Arabidopsis thaliana: one gene and its partners. The protein of the gene in region 1 binds, or shares a complex with, the protein of each later gene. Each region holds a gene or a part of one and is shown in the gene's direction. Other genes may lie near its edges.

The links.
Region 2: the proteins of COP8 (region 1) and CSN6B are in contact, whole or in part, in a cryo-EM structure (PDB 9IS6), measured with the Arabidopsis thaliana proteins. Residues at the interface, in NP_199111.1 of Arabidopsis thaliana: Gln205 (codon at 5,020), Ile206 (codon at 5,023), Arg243 (codon at 5,375), Tyr249 (codon at 5,393), Lys250 (codon at 5,396), Asp251 (codon at 5,484), Glu252 (codon at 5,487), Arg253 (codon at 5,490), Tyr267 (codon at 5,755), Leu268 (codon at 5,758), Glu269 (codon at 5,761), Glu366 (codon at 6,346), Leu367 (codon at 6,349), Trp370 (codon at 6,358), Gln373 (codon at 6,367), Ile374 (codon at 6,472), Leu377 (codon at 6,481), Ala380 (codon at 6,490), Leu381 (codon at 6,493), Asn382 (codon at 6,496), Ile384 (codon at 6,502), Leu385 (codon at 6,505), Met388 (codon at 6,514), Met393 (codon at 6,529); in NP_567746.1 of Arabidopsis thaliana: Ser7 (codon at 2,355), Leu9 (codon at 2,361), Gln66 (codon at 2,532), Arg69 (codon at 2,541), Tyr108 (codon at 2,738), Glu159 (codon at 2,978), Ser160 (codon at 2,981), Glu161 (codon at 2,984), Phe162 (codon at 3,082), His163 (codon at 3,085), Val164 (codon at 3,088), Leu222 (codon at 3,443), Arg225 (codon at 3,452), Ile226 (codon at 3,455), Val228 (codon at 3,461), Leu229 (codon at 3,464), His232 (codon at 3,473), Lys241 (codon at 3,690), Gln250 (codon at 3,717), Leu254 (codon at 3,729), Ser257 (codon at 3,738), Leu258 (codon at 3,741), Ala260 (codon at 3,747), Ala261 (codon at 3,750), Phe266 (codon at 3,765), Asn269 (codon at 3,774).
Region 3: the proteins of COP8 (region 1) and CSN5B are in contact, whole or in part, in a cryo-EM structure (PDB 9IS6), measured with the Arabidopsis thaliana proteins. Residues at the interface, in NP_199111.1 of Arabidopsis thaliana: Gln368 (codon at 6,352), Trp370 (codon at 6,358), Asp371 (codon at 6,361), Ile374 (codon at 6,472), Ser375 (codon at 6,475), Leu377 (codon at 6,481), Cys378 (codon at 6,484), Asn382 (codon at 6,496); in NP_177279.1 of Arabidopsis thaliana: Lys248 (codon at 3,042), Trp250 (codon at 3,048), Val251 (codon at 3,051), Ser255 (codon at 3,063), Ser257 (codon at 3,069), Leu260 (codon at 3,078), Gln328 (codon at 3,628), Lys331 (codon at 3,729), Phe335 (codon at 3,741), Asn336 (codon at 3,744).

Annotation. Positions count from the first base shown.
Region 1 is NC_003076.8:17,235,551-17,244,015, reverse strand, and holds COP8 (Proteasome component (PCI) domain protein), read left to right. Parts: upstream 1-3,199; 5' UTR 3,200-3,366; coding exon 3,367-3,496; intron 3,497-3,634; coding exon 3,635-3,786; intron 3,787-4,056; coding exon 4,057-4,160; intron 4,161-4,248; coding exon 4,249-4,309; intron 4,310-4,766; coding exon 4,767-4,859; intron 4,860-4,947; coding exon 4,948-5,048; intron 5,049-5,289; coding exon 5,290-5,398; intron 5,399-5,483; coding exon 5,484-5,528; intron 5,529-5,751; coding exon 5,752-5,820; intron 5,821-5,917; coding exon 5,918-6,009; intron 6,010-6,083; coding exon 6,084-6,186; intron 6,187-6,309; coding exon 6,310-6,369; intron 6,370-6,471; coding exon 6,472-6,546; 3' UTR 6,547-6,863; downstream 6,864-8,465. Other genes in the region: TRX3 (thioredoxin 3), read right to left, coding at 298-444, 543-665, 1,158-1,244; AT5G42965 (Polynucleotidyl transferase, ribonuclease H-like superfamily protein), read right to left, coding at 6,891-7,280; AT5G42960 (outer envelope pore 24B-like protein), read right to left, coding at 7,538-7,618, 8,003-8,359. UniProt on the Arabidopsis thaliana protein: Component of the COP9 signalosome complex (CSN), a complex involved in various cellular and developmental processes such as photomorphogenesis and auxin and jasmonate responses.
Region 2 is NC_003075.7:13,352,893-13,359,706, forward strand, and holds CSN6B (COP9 signalosome subunit 6B), read left to right. Parts: upstream 1-2,099; 5' UTR 2,100-2,336; coding exon 2,337-2,634; intron 2,635-2,714; coding exon 2,715-2,803; intron 2,804-2,890; coding exon 2,891-2,984; intron 2,985-3,079; coding exon 3,080-3,141; intron 3,142-3,231; coding exon 3,232-3,310; intron 3,311-3,401; coding exon 3,402-3,494; intron 3,495-3,684; coding exon 3,685-3,785; intron 3,786-3,914; coding exon 3,915-3,970; intron 3,971-4,352; coding exon 4,353-4,434; 3' UTR 4,435-4,703; downstream 4,704-6,814. Other genes in the region: WRKY34 (WRKY DNA-binding protein 34), read right to left, coding at 4,704-5,235, 5,312-5,470, 5,558-6,255, 6,341-6,658. UniProt on the Arabidopsis thaliana protein: Component of the COP9 signalosome complex (CSN), a complex involved in various cellular and developmental processes such as photomorphogenesis and auxin and jasmonate responses.
Region 3 is NC_003070.9:26,850,441-26,856,496, forward strand, and holds CSN5B (COP9-signalosome 5B), read left to right. Parts: upstream 1-1,965; 5' UTR 1,966-2,119; coding exon 2,120-2,509; intron 2,510-2,619; coding exon 2,620-2,901; intron 2,902-2,972; coding exon 2,973-3,120; intron 3,121-3,224; coding exon 3,225-3,310; intron 3,311-3,552; coding exon 3,553-3,630; intron 3,631-3,722; coding exon 3,723-3,815; 3' UTR 3,816-3,979; downstream 3,980-6,056. Other genes in the region: EBS1 (EMS-MUTAGENIZED BRI1 SUPPRESSOR 1), read left to right, coding at 1-155, 242-382, 462-505, 578-692, 869-1,021, 1,096-1,290; AT1G71235 (uncharacterized protein), read left to right, coding at 4,119-4,365, 4,583-4,782; AT1G71240 (chromosome-partitioning protein, putative (DUF639)), read left to right, coding at 5,049-5,241, 5,327-5,558, 5,647-5,797, 5,892-5,999. UniProt on the Arabidopsis thaliana protein: Probable protease subunit of the COP9 signalosome complex (CSN), a complex involved in various cellular and developmental processes such as photomorphogenesis and auxin and jasmonate responses.

The DNA of each region.
Region 1 (8,465 bases):
GTGAAAAACCATGGAGAGTTTAGGCAAAACGAAATTGTATTTGGCAATGTAATTGGATTGATAACTAGTTGGTGTAATGTAATTGAAAATTGAAAAACTAACATAACAATAGAATCCCCAAAGAGTAAACATAACCATGAACGAACAATTAGCATAGCTGCGAGTAATCAAGTTTGCAACAACATTTATTCACCACCACACATAAGAGCACATTTAAGGTGAAAAGACTCGGGCGAACAAAGGATTTATTAAAACACCAAACATATTTTAGCAAAATAGGTAAGAGAGAAAAGCAAATCAAGCAGCAGCAACAACTGTCTTGTGCTTCTCGAGATTGGCAATGATTTCTTCTTTAGCAGCACCAACCACAGTCTCCTTGATCTCTCCTTCTTTCATGAAGATAAACGTTGGCATTGCCTGAACTTTAAACTCCTCAGCAACAGTCTGCACAACAACATAACAAGCAAGATAAAGGCTCAGAGAAGTCAAAAATCCCTAAGTTTGGATATTGGGATAGTGTAAGATTGATGAAGGAAACTCACGTTCAATTCGTCAACATCGACCTTGAAGAAGACTACGTCGAGGTGCTTCTTGGCTAAGTCAGCAAAGACGGGTGCAATGAAACGGCAAGGTGGGCACCATGTTGCAGTGAAGTCTATCACAATCTGTGTCATTTCCACACAACCATATTTAAGAAAACAAGCTACACCGATCGATAATTCAAACAATAGATACGACATCGGTTCATCATTAAGATAACAAATGTATGCATTTCATGTGCTTCACAGAACATGGATAATAATACAAACATAGATACAAAATGGGTTCACTAAAGACAATTTTCATGTGATCTCTAGCAGATGATTCATAAAATTGAATATGCATAGTTGAGAGATTCACATAACATGTTTTTATCCAATGATGCTTCTATCAAGTTCTTAGGGTTTCAATTTCTGAGATTCTGGGTTCCTAAACAATCAATTAAACTATTAGGGTTCATAAATTTGACATTAAGGAGCTCAAAAATTCGATTGGGGACAATTCAAACCTAATTCTGAATCCGTCATATTCTAATCAAAAGGACCAAGATCAGAAACGATAAAGCAGCGAAATCAATCAGAAAGAAACATTTAAAACCTTAGATCGAGAGTTTTTACCAGTTTCTTGGATTCGTTGGCGGCTTTGAGCTTCTCGGTCCAATCTTCAACGGTGTGGCAAGCGATAACTTCTCCTTCTGCGGCCATTTTCTCTTCTCTGTGTTTGATTTTTGATTTGATGAGTTTTCGAGTGATTATTCTTCTTCGTCTCTGTGTCGGTTCTTATAGAGAGAAGGAGGCGGAGAGAATCTTACATCTTTTTATTATATTTTAATGCAAATGGAATAATAATAATAATTAATAAAACATGTTGTCAAATAGGAAAAGAATTAATACTCAAATTAAAAAAATGGACCAAACCACGCGGAGGAATTCGATGCCGGATTTGTTGATCTAACGGTTGAGATTGAAGAATTGCAAATCGGATTCAGCTTCTGAGGACGCGTGTAATTTATGCTCATTGAAAATAGAAGAAATTGATATATTTAGTCAAAAAGGTTATGAGATTTGAGTATTTCTTTTTATTTTTTATTTTTTTTTTGTTGGTCACATTGAATATTATTGCCTTTGGTAGTTCAGTCCTATATTTTATTTGAGAAACAAAATCAGAAAAGAATCTATAATTTGAAGCAACTTTCATATTGTAATTTGGTATTCCTATATTTTATTTGAGAAACAATATCAGAAAAGATCAAAAGAATCTATAATTTGTAGCAACTTTAAATATTGTAATAGGAAATCTTTTAAAATTTATCAATATGAAATTTGTTAATTTATAATAGGTCTTGAGATTTGATCATGTGACTTCTAAACACAAGTTATTGGGCTTTTGTTTAAGTAAAGCCCATGTGTCAAAGAAATGGATTGTTTTCCTAGTTAGTGAAATAATCTTATACACACAATTTAAAAACAATAGAGAAAATTAATGTTGAAATGAGCAGATTAATGTGGGGTTGTACATATCAAGGTGGAACTATCACAAGGAAGAACAAAGAGATATCTTGAGGTAACTACCCAAAGAAAGAGCAATGAAACCCTACCATGACAATTTGTCCAGACTATAACGAGTTAAATCATTATCATGAATTCCATACCATGGCAATTTGTTTTCTTTCAATGGGATGTCTACCATTCCAAAAAAGTTTTGCCATCAACAACCGCATCTGTTCTTTTGAGTAAATGTAATTTTGGTAAACTATGTAGTCTATAATCATTAGTTACAATATGGATCTGTAAAGTTGATTCAAAAACAATTGTGATGTTCTCGAACGGGATCACCATAAACTTCATCAAAAAAAATCCTTTAAGCGAGAGAAACTCGTGATTTTTCGAGACAACGATTGTGTCTATGAGTCTATCGTCCAACCTCATCCAATACCAATATGTTCAGTTATATCTAAGTTGTAAAGCACATAAAATCGATTTGTCAGTCAGCTCACATGTTTAAACCAAAGTCGTATTCCAATGCGAGACTTGGTTTCCTAGTCTGAGATAGGTAAATTTCTTTATATACTACCCTCTATGTAACGAGAGAGTGGTTCTTTTTTCACTTTTAATTCATGAGAGCACTTTCAAAACATTTTGCATGTCATTGCTCTCAAGATTTGGGCTCACAACTTTTCCGATGACTTCTCGGTCATATCTTGACCATTCGATCAATTTTTCGATTGCTTCTAGTCGATTCTTTCTCAACAAATAATTATTTACGTTTCCATCTTAAATTGCTCCCTAAGCTCTAAAACACATAACATATCATCTTTTTCCGATCTGGTATCATAATATTAAACGTGGTATTGTCATCATAAAATACCTCATCATCGTGTTTTCCAAATCACGACGTGTTTTTTTATTTGTGTAAAAGATTTACTGTAGTAATTTAGGCTCACATATAAAAATATTTCTAAACAATATATTATTTGTTGATTTTTTTTTTTAATCTACAATCAATTTGGTAAACTTACCATCACAAATTAATTATAAAATTTATGAACTAACAAAAAAAAATATAGTATTTATGCTTAATATATATATATATATATTTTAATTTATTTTGGGTACTAATCTCATATGAGTTGTGACCATATTAAGTAAATTTTGTAAAGCGCCTCTCCGATCACCGGCACAGAATCTAGTCCCCGTTTATTTTTTTAATATAAAAAGAGAGCAAACTCCAAAAAAAAAAAAAAAAAAAGCGAGAGAGAAATCAAAACCTTGTAAGGTTTCTTAGGGTTTCAATCGAAGCGGGAGAGAAAATCTCAGAAGAGAAGCCATGGATGAAGCTTTGACGAACGCTTCTGCAATCGGTGACCAACGCCAGAAAATCGAACAGTACAAACTCATCCTCTCCTCTGTTCTCTCTTCCAACGATCTTCTCCAAGCTCAGAGATTCATCGATCACAGTAATTTCGCATCTCCCTTCTTTCTCATGGTTTCAACTTCATAAGAGATTCGACAACTGCTTTTTGTTCTTATGGAATTCGGTTTATATCAGAATTTCTGGTTTGATTTTGATTTTTGCTTCCTCACAATTTTTCCAGTTCTTTCCGATGATGTCCCGTTGGTGGTTTCGAGGCAGCTTTTGCAGTCTTTCGCACAAGAGCTTGGGAGATTAGAACCGGAGACGCAGAAGGAGATTGCTCAATTTACTCTTACCCAGATTCAGCCTAGAGTTGTTTCCTTTGAGGAACAGGTTTGTTTTCTCTTCGTGATACCTTACTGTTTAGCAGCAATCGTGTACTTTTTAAACCCTAATTAGTTTACCTACTTAACATAAGTTGAGAGGTATGTAGAGTCGCTTTGCTATTGTACCGCTTTGGTATGTGAAATCTACACTGAAAGCTAATTTGAGATATTTGTTTACTAAGGATGCTGTATTTTGGGATAACTGAGACAATGTACGTTGTGTTGTTTTTCAATCTCTTTATTCTAAGAGATGAAACTGTTTGTGGTGTATTTGCAGGCACTTGTTATCAGAGAAAAACTTGCGGGTTTGTATGAATCAGAGCAGGAATGGTCAAAAGCAGCACAGATGTTGAGTGGAATTGATCTGGATTCTGGAATGAGGTGTGTGGCATTGAGCAGAATTTTGTTTTAGTTTCCTCTCTATGTTCTTTTGTGTTGCTTATTTTGGATTTGCGGAATTCTTTATTAGGGCCGTTGACGACAACTTCAAGCTTTCAAAGTGTATCCAAATTGCTCGTTTGTATCTCGAGGTTTGTCTTTCCCTTTCATGTACATATGCACAATAGATTCTGTGTCCTTTTCATTAATTTTTAAGCATGTAAATCGGTTATCTCTGTTTATGAGATGAATTTACGCATCGCAGTAATGATTTATAGCTAGTTTGTCTTGTTTCCTTCTGTGGGTGCGTGTCAATCAGTTACAGAAGTTAGATCTTAAAAGCACAAAAGAAACCCGTTGTTGAATGTTGATTCAATCTTCAAATATTTGGACATTTTTCTAGAGAGATTTTATTTAAAGTTAAGTCTCTTGACCAAATCTAAGTGTCATGAAATTAGGAATATCGACTGTTAAGAGCATTATTCTGCTTCACTACATCACTTTTTTATTTATTGCTTGTGAGAGTAAATTGAGGCTAGCAGAGTTGTATAAATACATTTAGTTAAATTTTTATTGTTCTCTAATACTTTTGTGTTTTGAAATTTTCAGGATGATGATGCTGTAAATGCAGAGGCTTTTATAAATAAAGCTTCTTTCTTAGTGAGCAATAGTCAGAATGAAGTTTTGAATTTGCAGTACAAGGTTGGACCACCTTAAAGTAAACTAAGAATTTATGTGCTGGGTGATTAAGGAGCATTCGTTTTCAAGTTTTAATATATTTCTGTTTCAGGTCTGCTATGCTAGAATTTTGGACATGAAAAGAAAGTTTTTAGAGGCTGCACTTCGGTATTACGGCATATCTCAGATTGAGCAACGCCAAATAGGGGATGAGTAAGTGAACTGACTTATCTTTCTGCTACATCTTTTCTTCAAATTCTCCTCTGTTGGTTTCTTGTTCGGATGGAATAATGATTAATTAATCTTCTATCCATCTTTGGAGACTCTGTATTTAAAGCTAGTTTCCTACTTTTCCCCTCTCTGTGATTGAATAGTGTTCCTCTTTTCTCTCTCCAATACCTTTGTGATATCTCATATTCTGAAACGGTTATAATGTGTTTTCTAATCTTTTCAGAGAGATTGATGAGAATGCTTTAGAGCAGGCCCTATCAGCTGCTGTCACATGTACCATATTAGCTGGAGCTGGTCCTCAGCGTTCTCGTGTTCTTGCAACTTTATACAAAGTAATTCCCTTTTGGATTACAAATAGAATACTTTCCTGCTTGCTTATTTATTGTTTTTTATTTCTCAATATCTTTCTATTAACAGGATGAGCGTTGCTCCAAGCTGAAGATTTATCCTATCCTGCAGAAGGTTCTATCTCTTATTACCTACAACTGTTTCCTCTAGTAGACAAACATACATTTTCATGCTATTGGACATATAGTATTGTTTGAACTCACATATTACTCTTGTTTAAGCCGGCATGATGTTTATTAGATTTGATTCATTATCAAATCAAACAAGTTCACCATAGCTTATAGAGGCTTGGTTAGAAATGCATGGTAACTTTTTGTTTTTTAATGCAACTTTATAGGTGTATCTGGAAAGGATTTTAAGGAGACCAGAGATTGATGCCTTTTCAGAAGAACTAAGGCCACATCAGGTATGGACTGTGAATTAAGATTTAGATGTAGTTTTTGGATAACATCTGAGTTGGTAAGTAGGTTCATAACAAGTTATTACACTGTTGATTTCAACAGAAAGCATCTTTGCCTGACAAATCCACTGTTCTTGACCGTGCTATGATTGAGCATAACCTTCTTAGTGCAAGCAAACTCTACACAAACATAAGGTATGAGATGTCGAATTAGTATCTTCTTTGTGTGTCTAGACTTGTTTGATTTTCTCAACTATTTTATATCCTAGGTTTGATGAATTGGGAACTCTGTTGGCGATTGATCCAAGAAAAGCGGAGAAGATAGCAGCTAATATGATTGGGCAAGACCGAATGAGGGGTTCCATAGATCAGGTAAGCAATAAAAAATACTTTGTTGGTTGAGCTATGTAAGAGCCCTGAAGAGAATTCTCGTTAGTGTTGATTTTCTAGAAGGAGGTTCCTAGACGTGTTTTAATATTTTATGTTACTGTTCAGGAGGAGGCTGTGATTCATTTTGAGGATGACGTGGAGGAACTACAACAATGGGATCAACAGGTTTTCTATCTCTCCCTCCCACTCTTTGTCTCTTTAGAGCAACTATATATGATTGTTTGTTTTATTGGCGTGGAATATGACTGAAAAGTGGAATCTGTGCAGATATCGGGATTATGCCAAGCTCTCAATGACATTCTGGATGGGATGGCCAAGAAAGGCATGTCTGTTCCTGTCTGATTGACTCCCAAGCCGTGAGATCGCCTCATGATGATTAATTTGTATTAGCCGAGCAACGGATCGAGTCTCATGCCAAAGTTTTTGCCAAATTGCTGTGTTTTGGGGACAGTCATTTTCACCTTATTTACTTTCTTGCAAATTCATGTCTATGTCTTTAGGTTAATTGATTCAGAGAGGAAAAGATTAGGCATTGAATGAGGATTTTTAAGAAAGTTGAAAAGAGGTTCAGGGTACATTTTTACCTCAGAACAAATTATTTTATGCATAGATGAACCTTTCTTGTGCAAGAGAATGATGAAACTAGTAGTTTTTTTTTTTTTTTTGGCTCAACAACAACTTCTCATTTACCAAACGGTGATTACACAGAGTCTGAATACACACAATCTTTTATCCAAGCCGGCACCTTTAGAATACATTTTAGGATCATAATTCAATAAAGAAAGAGATTCCCTAGCAATTCTATCTGCCACACTGTTTCCTTCACGCTTTATATGCATCACCTTCACCTCCTCAAATTGTTGGAATATATGTCTAATGTCCTGAATTCTTGGGGCCAAATTTGGATAATCAGTATCATCCCCTAACAGAGACACTAGATGTTGGGAATCTGATTCAAAGATGACTTTCTTATAGTTAAATCTTGACATTGAAAGAGCTGCCCATCTCATAGCTTCAAGTTCCACTTCCAACACTGTCTGAACTCTCGGGATTGCACGAAGTCCCAGCCACAACATTTTCCCCTCATGATTTCTCAGATGAAACTAGTAGTTACATATAACATTTTCCCATTCGTTGTTTAATTTTTATTCTTGAACGATCAAAACTTATGCGAATTTAAGAAATGATCAATGATAACAGACGAAACTGCTAGTAATAATAATGAGAAACTGTTGCAACAAAATTTCGGAAGATTCGCAAGAACCGACTAGTAAAATGTGTTGCAACACCAAACAATTGAAGTGAAACTTAGCTAAGTAGTGTAAAGAAGAGACTACATTTCAAGGTTCCATGTAGTTTCTGCGGTCAATTTCGGCGTTTTCAGTTCATCCGCAAGATTCACAGACGCACATACCTGTTGAAACAAGAAAATAAAGCCCATCAACGACCAAAACACATGGAATTTCTAAAGTTCGTAAAGCGGTAAAGCTTCTTCACGACATAGTTGTTGCTCAAAAGAAAGCAAATCCAATGTCTAAATATGATTGCCAATACACAGAACAATCTAAAATTACTGATTATGATGCAGCAAAGAATACATGAACTATCCTAACCCAAAGATGATGCCTTATTGTCAAGAAGCTATGCATCCCATGTAGGTAGCAGTTTCATCTATCAAATCAATTCTATTTCTACCAGGTTTAAGTCACTGATATCACCGTTTAACTTTAAAGAACTAAGATTGTCATCAAAATATAGTAAACGATATGAACTTTCGACTGAAAATGTTCTTTCTTACCTTGAATCCACTTGCTTTGTTGTTCCTTGACCATTCCATACCCAACAACTTACTAGACGTCTGATAAGTTGCCCTCACATTATCACCACTATAAAATCTTCGAGAAACCGCAAAATCCCATGTATTTTTCGCCAAGTCATAACACGGCTCGAACGTAGCTAACCCTCCATGAGCATAGGTATACTTAATCTTACAGTTGTTTGTCCCAACCATGTGGTTAGCAGAGAGTTTGTTTGCAGAATCAATCACAAGGCTCCCATCGACAATTGTTCTGTTATCAGCTCTGCTATGAATGTAAGTCAAATTCAAAGGCTTCTCTGCAATTCTTACTGTGTTCATGAACTGAAACCTAACATCCTGTAAACCAAAATCACCAACATAGTTAAGCACATAGATTCTTAAATGTCTGCCTGCAAATCTCTTTAAACTTGTGGAGAATCTAAAAACCCTAAACTCCAGAATC
Region 2 (6,814 bases), on another chromosome or scaffold:
CTTGCACAAGTGTGGATCAAGTTGGATATTAAGTTACTTGAATTAGTGAAACTGCTGAGCTGAGATTTTCCATATTTTGCTGTCCATTGGTTTTTAATAATGTTAGTCTCCATGGAGAATTAGTTAATTGGTATATGATTATACTTATATGGGTTATAGCGTGAAAAAAAGAAACATCTACTTTAAGCAACAGCAGAAAGCATTAAAGAATAGATAACCCCAATTTCCGAGAGGAACGTTAGGAGAAAGTTTTTGAAAATTTACAAAACTTTCTGTTAGTAGATGCTTAATTTCATCAGTGTTTTCCAAGCAATTTTGAATTAAGGATTAATAAAATTGTTATGTATATTATGAAATAATGAAGATATTTCGCTATCTCTAGAGTCTAAAGAGATTAGCAGTTGGTGCCTTGGTGGTTGACAAAAGAAAAGAAGAAGAGATTAGCAGTTGCGTTTAACATTGGTTTTATCTAGAAAGATGAACTGATGGTTACATATAAAACTAGTCGTTGTCTGTCAGTGTCCACTAAAGACTATTTTCTTCTTTTGATATACATTTCTAAATATACAACAATATCATTTCTCCGAGGTTTGTGAATTGTTTAGGTATAAAATAGTTTTCTACAATAACTTTTGCTATCGGGTGCAAAGACATTCTACCATAGAACGAGTTTAGTATAGTGTCATTTCGTAGATTCTTTATTCGGATTGGTTTTTCAATATCAACAAAATTCTGGTTCATTTTCTTCCCTCCTATAAACGAAGGTAAAAAGAATGAAGAAAAAAGAAAAGAAAGAATATTTTGTTAATGCATTATCTAACGTGTTAATGTGTCACTTTCATTTTTCTTAATCGTTTGTTGAAAACTTTTTGCAGTTGATTTCAGGAAAACGGAACACACATATATATATATATATGTCTTTTATTTTCAATACGGACCAAATCCATCATTTGCTAATCAGTGAGAAAACTAAATCGTGGTCTACTAGTTTATATAAATTGAAAAAAGAATCATAAATAATATGTCACATATCCAACCTAAAGATTTATGTCTATACATGTAAAAATGTAAATGAGCATATTCCCAAATTTCCCACAAGTATATAGCACTACCTACACTCACGCTTCTTCAAAGTGAAGGCGATGGTGGAAAAAAGCGTAGACGATGACTTGATAAGATTGACTGAAGAAAAGAAAAAAAGTTATCATAAGTCAAAAAGCATGTCGTTAGAGTTTGACGAGATCCCATGCATGATTATATTGTCGGATACAATTGTTTGAACAATACGGTTGGAAAAATCTACCGTAATATGAAGACTTGAATGACATAACTAAAGATTGTACCTTGCAAGCCAGCAATGTGTTAATGATATGAGTAAGGGTGCAGAGGCTGCGGCTGGTGGCTACTGGCTAGTGATAAGCAATTTACGATGTAATGACAGATATATCATAGGAGACTAGGAGTTATATATGGTATATATAGAATCTAAAATAACATATTTATCAATTTACTATATTAAGTTTTATGGTTCCAAACTCAAAACTAATTGTTTATGAGTAGATTTGGTTTATATACTGTATATTACTCATATTCTATTTCCACTTTTAATGTGGGATTTCTCATAAACTATATACAGTTATATTTTTAATTAATGAAATAACAATAATACAGATTTAAATGTAGCCTTAACTATTTTTATGAAATTTAAATGAAATTTAATTTAAAAGATTGCATTCAGAATACAAAACTGTAATATTCTGTAAAATATTGATAGGTACTACTTACAACATAGGAAACATATTTAAAGATATGTTATATAAACTAAAAATAGTTTAAAATATCAATATATATATATATATATATATATATTACGAAAAGAAGAATTAAAACAGACTACACACATAATAAAATTTTAATAGTAACACTTACAAACATATCCAATAATATTAAATAAAATTAATTCATTATGATCTTTATGTTATTTCTATATACTCAAACCAAAAAAAAAGAAGTAAATGATTCAAAATCCAATCATAATTATTTTTCAAATTCATTAAAATACAAGAAATTTCATATTAAAAAAATAGATATTTCTTTCAAAGATTTATATTCAAATTATAAATATATACTAAAACGCTAAAAAATTAAGTACATGCTATAATCTTTTCCATTATTTTTCTAACAAAAGAAAGTTATATATGGGCTAAACTTAGAAGGAAAGCCCAAGAGGCCAAGACTATATAAAGATTCATGACCCGAGTTTAAGATCCGATTTCAGAATTTGGGACTAAAGGAGGACAACGACAAGCGCCGGGAAAAAATCGAGAGCGACAACAATGGCGCCTTCTTCGTCGAGCGGTCTCACGTTCAAGCTACATCCTCTGGTGATGCTTAACATATCCGATCACTTCACTAGGGTTAAAACTCAGCTTAATCCTCCCGCCGCTTCTTGCGCCACCGGGAATGGCTCCAACAACGCCGACGCGATGTTACTGCAAAACCCTAGGGTTTATGGCTGCGTCATCGGTCTCCAGAGAGGTCGTACGGTTGAGATCTTCAACAGTTTCGAGCTGATATTCGATCCTGCTCTTGATACTCTCGACAGATCCTTCCTCGAGAAGAAGCAAGAACTCTGTAAGTTTACTTACACTCGCTCACTTTTGTTGTCGATTGTTTGATACTCTTGCTAATTTGTGAGTTTTGTTATTTTTTAGATAAGAAGGTGTTCCCTGACTTCTACGTATTGGGATGGTATTCTACGGGAAGTGACGCTACCGAATCTGATATGCATATCCACAAAGCTGTGAGTAGTGTAGCTTTAATGTTTAATATAAATTTAATTGAATTTAGGATTCTCATTGTACTGATTTGTTGAGGTTTTCATCTACAGCTGATGGACATTAATGAATCTCCTGTGTATGTTCTTTTAAATCCTGCTATCAATCATGCACAGAAGGATCTTCCTGTGACTATCTACGAAAGCGGTAAAAATTGGTTATTTGCATCACTGATTGTCTTATTGTTTTATAGATTATAATCTTGCTAATCCTGTCTTTTTGATTGTTTTCAAAATTTGAAGAATTTCATGTCATTGATGGAATTCCTCAGTCGATTTTCGTGCATACCAGCTACACAATTGAGGTATGTGTTTAGGCCACTTGATCTGTAATCTATCTATGTGATATGAGAGTGGACTTTCAATAACATTGCAATGATTGTAAACGCGTGCAGACAGTTGAAGCTGAAAGAATATCTGTTGATCATGTTGCACATCTTAAGCCATCTGATGGAGGCTCAGCTGCGACTCAGTGTAAGCTTTATTATCACTTCATATTTATCATAATCTGTTCTTTCTTTTTCATCTGCATGGAATTTTAGGTTGATTCCTCGATTTTGTGCAGTGGCTGCTCATCTTACTGGAATACATAGTGCCATCAAGATGCTTAATAGCAGAATCAGAGTGCTATACCAGCATATTGTCGCTATGCAGAAAGGTATATTCTTGCTCAAGTCCCCACTCTCGGTCCCTCTTCAATTTGTTAATCAAGCTTTTGTGACCTGTCCCTTGATCTTAGAATATTTCTATGTGTTTTCCTACGGGGAAGAAAGAATTAAAAGGGTGTTAGAAGATGATTTTGAGCAAGAGTAATGTGGTACTAATGACTTATGTGATTCTGCATCTAGGTGATAAACCTTGTGAGAACTCAGTTCTGAGACAAGTATCTAGTCTGCTCAGAAGTTTGCCTGCCGCAGAATCAGAGAAGTTCAATGAAAATTTCTTGATGGTAAGTAGTACCTTACCTTTTTCTAGCAATGTTGGTTAAATAAAGTGGCCTTCGAATCTCTTAAATTCTTAATGTAGCTTGTTGTTGTGAATGATATCTTTATAAATATGATGTTCTCTTCTTTTGCAGGAGTACAACGACAAATTGCTGATGTCTTACCTAGCAATGATCACGAATTGTACCAGGTATGTGCTCGACACGCTATTCCATTTAACTATTTGAATAAAAGAATGATGGACATGCATGCAAATCTTTTGCTTGATACAATGCAATGTTTTACGATACCAAGACAGATGAAATCACCAGTACTTGGTTGAGGCTGACATTGAGATAGTTTGTTTTATTTAGATTAAGAACTAAATCTAGGACCTTGCTCAATTATCCTTGTTATAATTAAGATACTGAGCCTGTAGTAGCTAAGGGAATATAAGCTTCTTTTTAAAAAAAAAATCTAATCTTGTGCTACACCTTGACCAATCCATATGTCAATTTCATTCCAACGAAATGTCCTGAAAGAATCCTTTGTATATTTGATCTCTTACTCTCCTTTTTCCCCCCAAAATGCAGCAACATGAACGAGGTGGTTGACAAATTCAACACTGCATACGACAAACACAGCCGAAGAGGTGGTAGGACTGCGTTCATGTAAAGATTAGTTTCAATGTAAAAAAACCTTTTCTTTCTTTTGGTGGTCTGGTCCCTAAGTGAAAATTTAGAACTCTTTTAAGGCATTTCACTTTTCGGAACCAAACAAACAGCTAGGAAGCTTTTCTTCTGTTTAAGCTTTGTCTAGACAGAAGCTAAGTTTAGGCCTAACTAAATTTTGCGACAAGACTGTAAAAACAAAACAGCTTTTACCTTCTCTCAATTTTTCATTTATTCAAAAATTTGAGCAATCAGTGAACAAAGAGATTTGTTTCATATCTGTCGTAATCTACTCAACATCTCTCTGCATATCAATGAGCTCGCTGACAAATCAAGTCCCTGTTGTGGTGACACTGGTTCCACCTTCGGCTGTGCTGCTAACTGCAACATTAGGCCAGTTGGATCCCCAATGTCAGGCGCCTGCAGGCTGGTAAGCTTCTCTTGCCCAATAGTTAGACCAGGCATTGAAAGATCAGAAAGCTCAGATTGGCCTATGTAAACGGAGAAACCTGTAGGATGCCTCAGGTGTGACTGGAAGTCAAATAGAGATGAGTTGGCTGTGGCCAGTCCCTCAGATCTACTGTGTGGCATTGGATAGTGCACATTGTGGTTGTGGGTCTGAGTCGCTAAACTGCCTTGGAGAGTCCCTGAACTGCCTGCACCGACGTGGCTGCTGTTGCGTGCTGCTGGTACAACGTGGGTGTGCTTGCCTATATAAGTTGTTAGTACGCTCTTGAAGTCATCAGAGGCTCTCTCTACATGCTTCGTTACGGTACATCCATTAGCTGTGCATTTATAGTAGCTCCTGAAAACATAGAAAACTGATTTTATTAAATTCAACAAAGGGATAGCAGCAGAACAGAGCATTTGGATACAAGAACCTTGGATTCGGGTTTCCTTTAACGACTTTTTGCCCATACTTGCGCCAGCGATAACCATCATCGAGGATGTCAATGTCACTTGTGGTCTGCACCACAACTCTTGGCTCACGGCTGGCTCTGGTTGATCCACTCGTTTCTGTTGCATAAGCTTCTAGTTTCCTGATACGGGAATGCCATCAGAGCTCAGAAGTCAGAACGTCTTGTCTTTCTAAGTATTATAATGGTTACTAGAGCAACTTTTTATACCTTCTCTTTGATTCGGACTCTTCTACCTCTCCATCGTAAGTCAGGGAAACACTCATGTGGGACGTGCGATCATCTTCGTTTTCATCTCTATATAAGGCATCAGCTGCTGCATCACCATACCCGAACTGATGAGTCCCGTTTTGAACCTGCATTGATCCTGAATGGCTTCCGTATTCGAGCTCTGCAGATACAGGTGATGTCCATTCTATGTTCTCATTGGTTCCAGCAAAACCTTCGTATTCGGTTGCATCTATTTGCATGTCTTGGCCAGTACCGGATGATCCAATCCCTGACCGGCGGTTAGGTGGAGGTTTGCTGTGTATATGATCTCCTGTGTATATGATCTCTATAATATGACCTTCCCGAGACCGTTCAACCTTCTTCTTGGCCTCACAATTCGGGTGCGTGCACTTGTAATAGCTCCGCGGATACTCACTTCCTTTAACTAGCTTTTGTCCATATTTTCTCCAGTTGTATCCATCATCTGCAGGTGCACAACAAGCCATCGAGTCTCCTAAACCGCCGAGCTGTCTTTCTTCATAGTCTTGGGAATCATCGGGTTCTAAAGCGATGTTAGTAGGATCAAGGCCACTTCCTGAAATGGTTTGGAAGGCTAAGGATGTGGTAATGTCGTCAAATAACTCAGCTTTAGCCTTATCAGAAGGTACTGATGAGAGCTTCCCGGTTGTTGGAGATAGCTGAGCTTACAAATGATAAGAGATTTTAGAGCACTGATTCACGAAAGAGAGAGACCATAATGAAATGTTGAAAAGAAAAAGTTACCAAAGGGTTTGAGAGGAAAACAGGAGACTCTAACAGAGTTGCAGGACTAAGACCAGGAGAAGAGATGGTTAAAGATTTCGACTGAAGAATATCCTCAGTGTTTAACCACGGTGCATTAAACCCGGATCTCGCAGCAATCCTTTCACGAAGAGCTCCTCGTGAACTTTCTTGAAAGGTGGTTTGCAAAGAATCCTCATTCTTGATGTAATTTAAAGAAAACTCTCTACCAAGTTCCGCTTTCGATCTCTTCCTGTGGTTAGTAGTACTACAGTCGAACCATTCTCCCATTACAGCAGCTTTATTATCAATACCAGCCATTGCAAACCCAAGTTTCAGCTTTAACTTGGGCTCAAGCTGAAACGTGATTAGGTGTTACATATATGACACAGAGCAGTTAACATGGAACTAAAATCTTAAAAAATTATTGTAATTAAAATGGAAACAGAGCAGTTTTTTTTATATGCAATAAGTCTT
Region 3 (6,056 bases), on another chromosome or scaffold:
TGATTCCACATATGGCACAAGAATACAACTTTGAGTATGAGCTGATTACATACAAATGGCCGTCCTGGTTGCATAAACAGAAAGAAAAGCAACGAATTATTTGGGCCTACAAAATTCTTTTCCTTGATGTCATATTTCCTCTCTCATTGGAAAAGGTACAGATGATCATATTTTCATTTCTTTCTTGCGATTTTGATGCTTGGAAGATGTCACTATAAGGTATTCGACATGTGTTCTGTAGGTTATATTTGTCGACGCAGATCAAATTATAAGGACAGACATGGGAGAACTGTATGATATGGATATTAAAGGAAGACCTCTCGCGTATACTCCTTTTTGTGACAACAACAGGGAAATGGATGGCTATAAATTTTGGAAACAGGTAAACATTAATCTTTTTGTTTTGCTTGTAGAGGTAGTTTTGGTTTCCATACTCTTACATTCTCAATTGCTTTGAACAGGGTTTCTGGAAAGAACATTTACGTGGTAGGCCATACCATATCAGGTAAAAAAACCTACTTGAACCTCAGTAAGTTGTTGCTTTTCCCATTCTTAATGTGCCTTGTTCTATCTGTAGTGCTCTATACGTTGTTGACTTGGTTAAGTTCCGAGAGACAGCGGCAGGAGATAATCTAAGAGTATTCTATGAGACGCTTAGCAAGGATCCAAACAGTTTGTCCAACCTAGATCAGGCAAGTTGTATAATATGGTTCTCTATACTTAGGGCTGTAACCTTTCTTTGGTGGTCACACTATCGTTTTACTTTATTTGAAAGGCTTTTGCATTTGACTCTTACCATACACCATGCTCTGAATCTTTAGAGTTCCAGGTTCAAACATATTGATGGCATGTCATTATTTTGTTTCAGGATCTTCCTAATTATGCTCAGCATACTGTTCCTATATTTTCACTTCCCCAAGAGTGGTTGTGGTGTGAATCCTGGTGTGGAAACGCCACAAAAGCCAAGGCCAGAACAATCGATCTTTGCAATAATCCCATGACAAAGGAACCAAAGCTTCAGGTAAAATGATGGCTTTCCTCATATCTACAACACTCACAAAGCGTTGTTTGTTATAATGCGGTGTTCTTCTGCAGGGTGCCCGAAGAATCGTAACCGAATGGCCCGATCTTGATCTCGAAGCACGAAAATTCACAGCAAAAATCTTGGGTGAAGATGTGGAACTCAACGAGCCAGTAGCTGCTCCTGCTACAGACAAGCCTAATCCTCTTCCATCAAATGACATCTCTGAAGATACAGAACAAGACTTGGAATCTAAAGCAGAACTGTAAATTCAATGCTCCTGAAGTTTCAAAAGAGGAGAAGATAAATTAGACAATCATGGCTATTTTGCATTTGCTAGATAAGGTTTCTAGTTTTGTAGCTACAGTTTCTTAGACATCTCTCACATAAATTAGACAGAAGATAAAGTCAACAGATTGCAGGAGAATAAGAATATCAGTATAATATGATTTTGAATCAATTACAAACATAGTCACTCATAACGTATTTGTAAACTCGTCCGTCCAAAATCTCAAATCAAACCAAACCGACAAACCAGTAAAAAAACCGAACCGGAAAACTGACGTGTCAGTGTCTGTATAAAAAGCAATACGTGTTCTTTTAGCAAAGGGTCTGACACTCTGATAGAAAAGCTGAAGTAATTCAATAAATTATTTTAGAAGAGGGAAGAAATCTACGGTTTTACAAGGGGACGTTATTTATTAATGGATTTTAATAGAAAGAAATCCAACACTAATACACTGTTATTTAATTAATGATTTTAAATTCAATTTTAAAATTTAGTGTTATTGGAGTTTATATCTTTGTAAATCATGTTTAATAGATTTTAAAATTTTGTGTTATTCAATTAAAAGATTTTAATACCGTCAAAAAAAAAAAAAAAAAAACAAACTAAAAGGATTTTAAATTTTATTTCTAAATTAGAGAAGAATCCAGAGGAATTAATTTTCACCACTTTTCTCTTCTTATATATAAGTCAATCCCCGAAGTAACATTTTTGACACAGTTTTCAATTCTTCAGCAGACAGATCGATCACACTCCATCGATTCCGTATGAAACCCTAGATTTCTGCAACTGAATTCCTAATTCGAAAAAGAATGGAGGGTTCGTCGTCGACGATAGCAAGGAAGACATGGGAACTAGAGAACAGCATTCTAACAGTAGACTCACCTGATTCAACCTCCGACAACATCTTCTACTACGACGATACTTCACAGACTAGGTTCCAGCAAGAGAAACCGTGGGAGAATGATCCTCACTACTTTAAACGAGTCAAGATCTCAGCGCTCGCTCTTCTTAAGATGGTGGTTCACGCTCGCTCTGGTGGTACAATTGAAATAATGGGTCTTATGCAAGGTAAGACCGATGGTGATACTATCATTGTTATGGATGCTTTTGCTTTACCAGTGGAAGGTACTGAGACAAGGGTTAATGCTCAGGATGATGCTTATGAGTACATGGTTGAGTATTCACAGACCAACAAGCTCGTAAGTGAGATTCAAGAAACTTCAAAGTTTTGATTTTTTTCTTTAGAAAGTTTGTATATAAGTCAGAACAGTTTGATTGATTATGGTTATAATAACTTGACCTTTATAAGGCGGGGCGGCTGGAGAATGTTGTTGGATGGTATCACTCTCACCCTGGATATGGATGCTGGCTCTCCGGTATTGATGTTTCTACGCAGAGGCTTAACCAACAGCATCAGGAGCCATTTTTAGCTGTTGTTATTGATCCCACAAGGACTGTTTCAGCTGGTAAGGTTGAGATTGGTGCTTTCAGAACATACTCTAAAGGATATAAGCCTCCAGATGAACCTGTTTCTGAGTATCAAACTATTCCTTTAAATAAGATTGAGGACTTTGGTGTTCACTGCAAACAGGTACATTTTCTTGATTTTTCTCGGTGCAAGGTCCCAACATGATTCTTATGTTTGGCTTTTGGTTTTGGCAGTACTATTCATTAGATGTCACTTATTTCAAGTCATCTCTTGATTCTCACCTTCTGGATCTACTATGGAACAAGTACTGGGTGAACACTCTTTCTTCTTCTCCACTGCTGGGTAATGGAGACTATGTTGCTGGACAAATATCAGACTTAGGTAAACTCTTGGATATGGCCTAAATCATTCACTCTTACTTTTTTTTCTCAAGTCACAGTCAAGTAATGTGTTATATAATCGTTTTCGTAATTTTACCAATGAAGCTGAGAAGCTTGAGCAAGCCGAGAGTCATCTGGTTCAGTCTCGCTTTGGAGGAGTTGTGCCATCATCCCTTCATAAGAAAAAAGAGGTATGTCCTAGTGGTTCATCAAATTTTAATTGCGATTACGGTGGCTAGTTAAGTGCCTCTGTAAACATCTAGCTACTAAGAGGATATATCTTCAAATGTTTTGGTTATTGGGACCTGGAGGTGTTCTGTTTAGTTGAAATGAAAGTGTTGTTGAAGGTTGTACAGATATATAACTTTCGAGAATGTTAATGGGTGTTGCTTGTTAAAGATCTCATTTGACGTGTGTTCTAAATCACTTTCAGGATGAGTCTCAACTAACTAAGATAACTCGGGATAGCGCAAAGATAACTGTGGAACAGGTCCATGGACTAATGTCGCAGGTGAGTAATAATATTGAAACGAAATGGTGACATATCTCCCTTAAGGTTCGTGTATTTCACAGACTCAAAATCCATCATTGTTGTACTTGTAGGTCATAAAAGATGAATTATTCAACTCAATGCGTCAGTCCAACAACAAATCTCCCACTGACTCGTCGGATCCAGACCCTATGATTACATATTGAAGTTGCTCTTCTTTTGGTTTCTAGTTTTGGATTGACCCATCATTTGTTGTCCTTTCATTTATTTTCTGTTGTGTAAAGAATTATAATGCTAATGAGAATAATACAGAAGAAGATTTTGGTTAAAGAAATGTTTTTAAGCCCATTCGATTCGTCGGGGTTAAAGGAATAATCTTAAGCCCTTAAACAAAAATTGTATTTATGGAAATCAGAAACCTAGTGATCTTTTCCAACTCTATCCCCTCTCTCTTTCCTTCTCTGCACTCACGTTGTCCGTGAATAGGTGGTACTAAAACATGGCTAACAATGGCAATCATCTTTCTCTGTCTTTGTTTGTTGATGAAAAGTGTTCCTTATGGGACTGTCGACGACGACGCCCACAAGGAGCTATGTACTGCCAACCTGACCATCTTCAACAAGCTTATCAAGAACGCACTTCACACAACATGGCAAACTTATACACTTGAAGACGTAGTATTGCGGAGAATCTTAGAAAGCCTTAGTTATCCGGAGCTTCGTGGAAGTCCGGGGATACCAAACCTTCAAGAAAACAGTCAGTTATTGTCTATAGCTCCGCACGGATATGTTTCCTACAAATTTGACATGTAGCGAGAAACATAGCATATGGCTGTTTCTCGCGCTGTTCGTGCCCGACCAAGGGGTTTGGAAACTGGTTAAAGAACGGCATCGAAGGAACTATGTACGTGATAAATTTATACCACGTTTTGCTATGAACAATGGTTCAACATGGGAGCTATATAGGTTTACAGTGAAAAGTGACTCTGTAGCCTTTTTCACTATGGAATATCGCAAACCCTTGCTTCTTGGGGTGGAGGATCTCAGCCTTTTTGATGATGATGTTGATGATGATTCGCATTCGAATAAGAGGAAAACTCCACCTTGTTCTGAGAGCAAGAGAACTGACAAAAGATCTTCATATGGACATGTTTCCGAGTATTCCTCTAAATAAGATTATGGACCTTAATTTGATGTTTACCTTTTATTTTCTGTTGTGTGACACAAATTTGTAGGCAAATGGGAATGAATTAAATTGGAATAATACAGAAAAAATTGTGTTAAGGAATCGTCGACATGGTTTGATATTTATTTGAGAATAAAGACACAAAAGATGAAACTAGAAAGCAATAATTTAGTAAGACCAACAAAAAAAAAGGGTGGTGTTTTGCTATTGTACGCCTCTTTCTCTCCAAAGCTTTTTTTTTTTCAGCTACAGAAATGGCGCAGAGAGTCGGAGCATTGAAAAGATTGAAACTTTCTTCTGCAACTCCAGATTTTCCTATTGGTTTCCGTTGTGATGGAGTTCGTGTTCATCGACGCTGCTCTTTCTCCAGAAATTGTGCTTCTAATCGAAAGCCAAGACTCCGAATTGTTGCTCAGAAGAAATGGAAATTGAACGATATCGACACAAGTAAGACCCTTCTTCCTCTTCGAATTCTGGTTCTTGAAGTTCTCTGTAACAGCTGCTGAGTTATGTTGGTGTTCTTATATGACAGATGTTGTACAAGAACGATTTAGTCAGTGGGTGTCGAAATCACAGAAAATTCTGAGTGATGTAACATCTCCATTGAAGAAAAAGAGTCAGAGTCTCAAAAAGATTGATCTTGAGGATCAACAAGATTTTGAAGACTTGGAGGAACTTCTTACAGTTGAACAAACTGTTCGAAGTGATACACCAAAAGGGTTTCTTTCTTTTGATGCTATTATCTCCATTGAACAGTTTAGTAGGTGAGCTAATCTAAACCACAGGATCATTGAATCATCTTCACTTTGTGGTTGTTGTTAAAGTATTCATTTTTCTTTGACCCTTTATAAGCAGGATGAATGGAATCACTGGGAAGAAAATGCAGGATATATTTGAAACAATTGTTTCTCCAGCTTTATCTACTGATGCCCGGTACTTGGTGGAGTATTGCTGTTTCAGGTTTTTATCGAGGGATAGCTCGGAGTTTCATCCGTGTCTCAAGGTATCTGGAAACTGGGATGCTTTACACTTATTGTTTCAGAAATGGAGAGTATTGTTTATTGGTTTCTGAAGCATTGAAAATTATCTCTTCATAGGAACCTGCATTCCAGAGGCTTATATTCATCACAATGCTCGCGTGGGCGAATCCATATTGTAAAGAAAGAAATGCACGCAATGATGCCTCAGGAAAACCTTCTTTTCAGGTATTTCTTAGACCGTTCATTTCGTCTGTCTAGCTTATATGAAGACAAAAGTTCTTT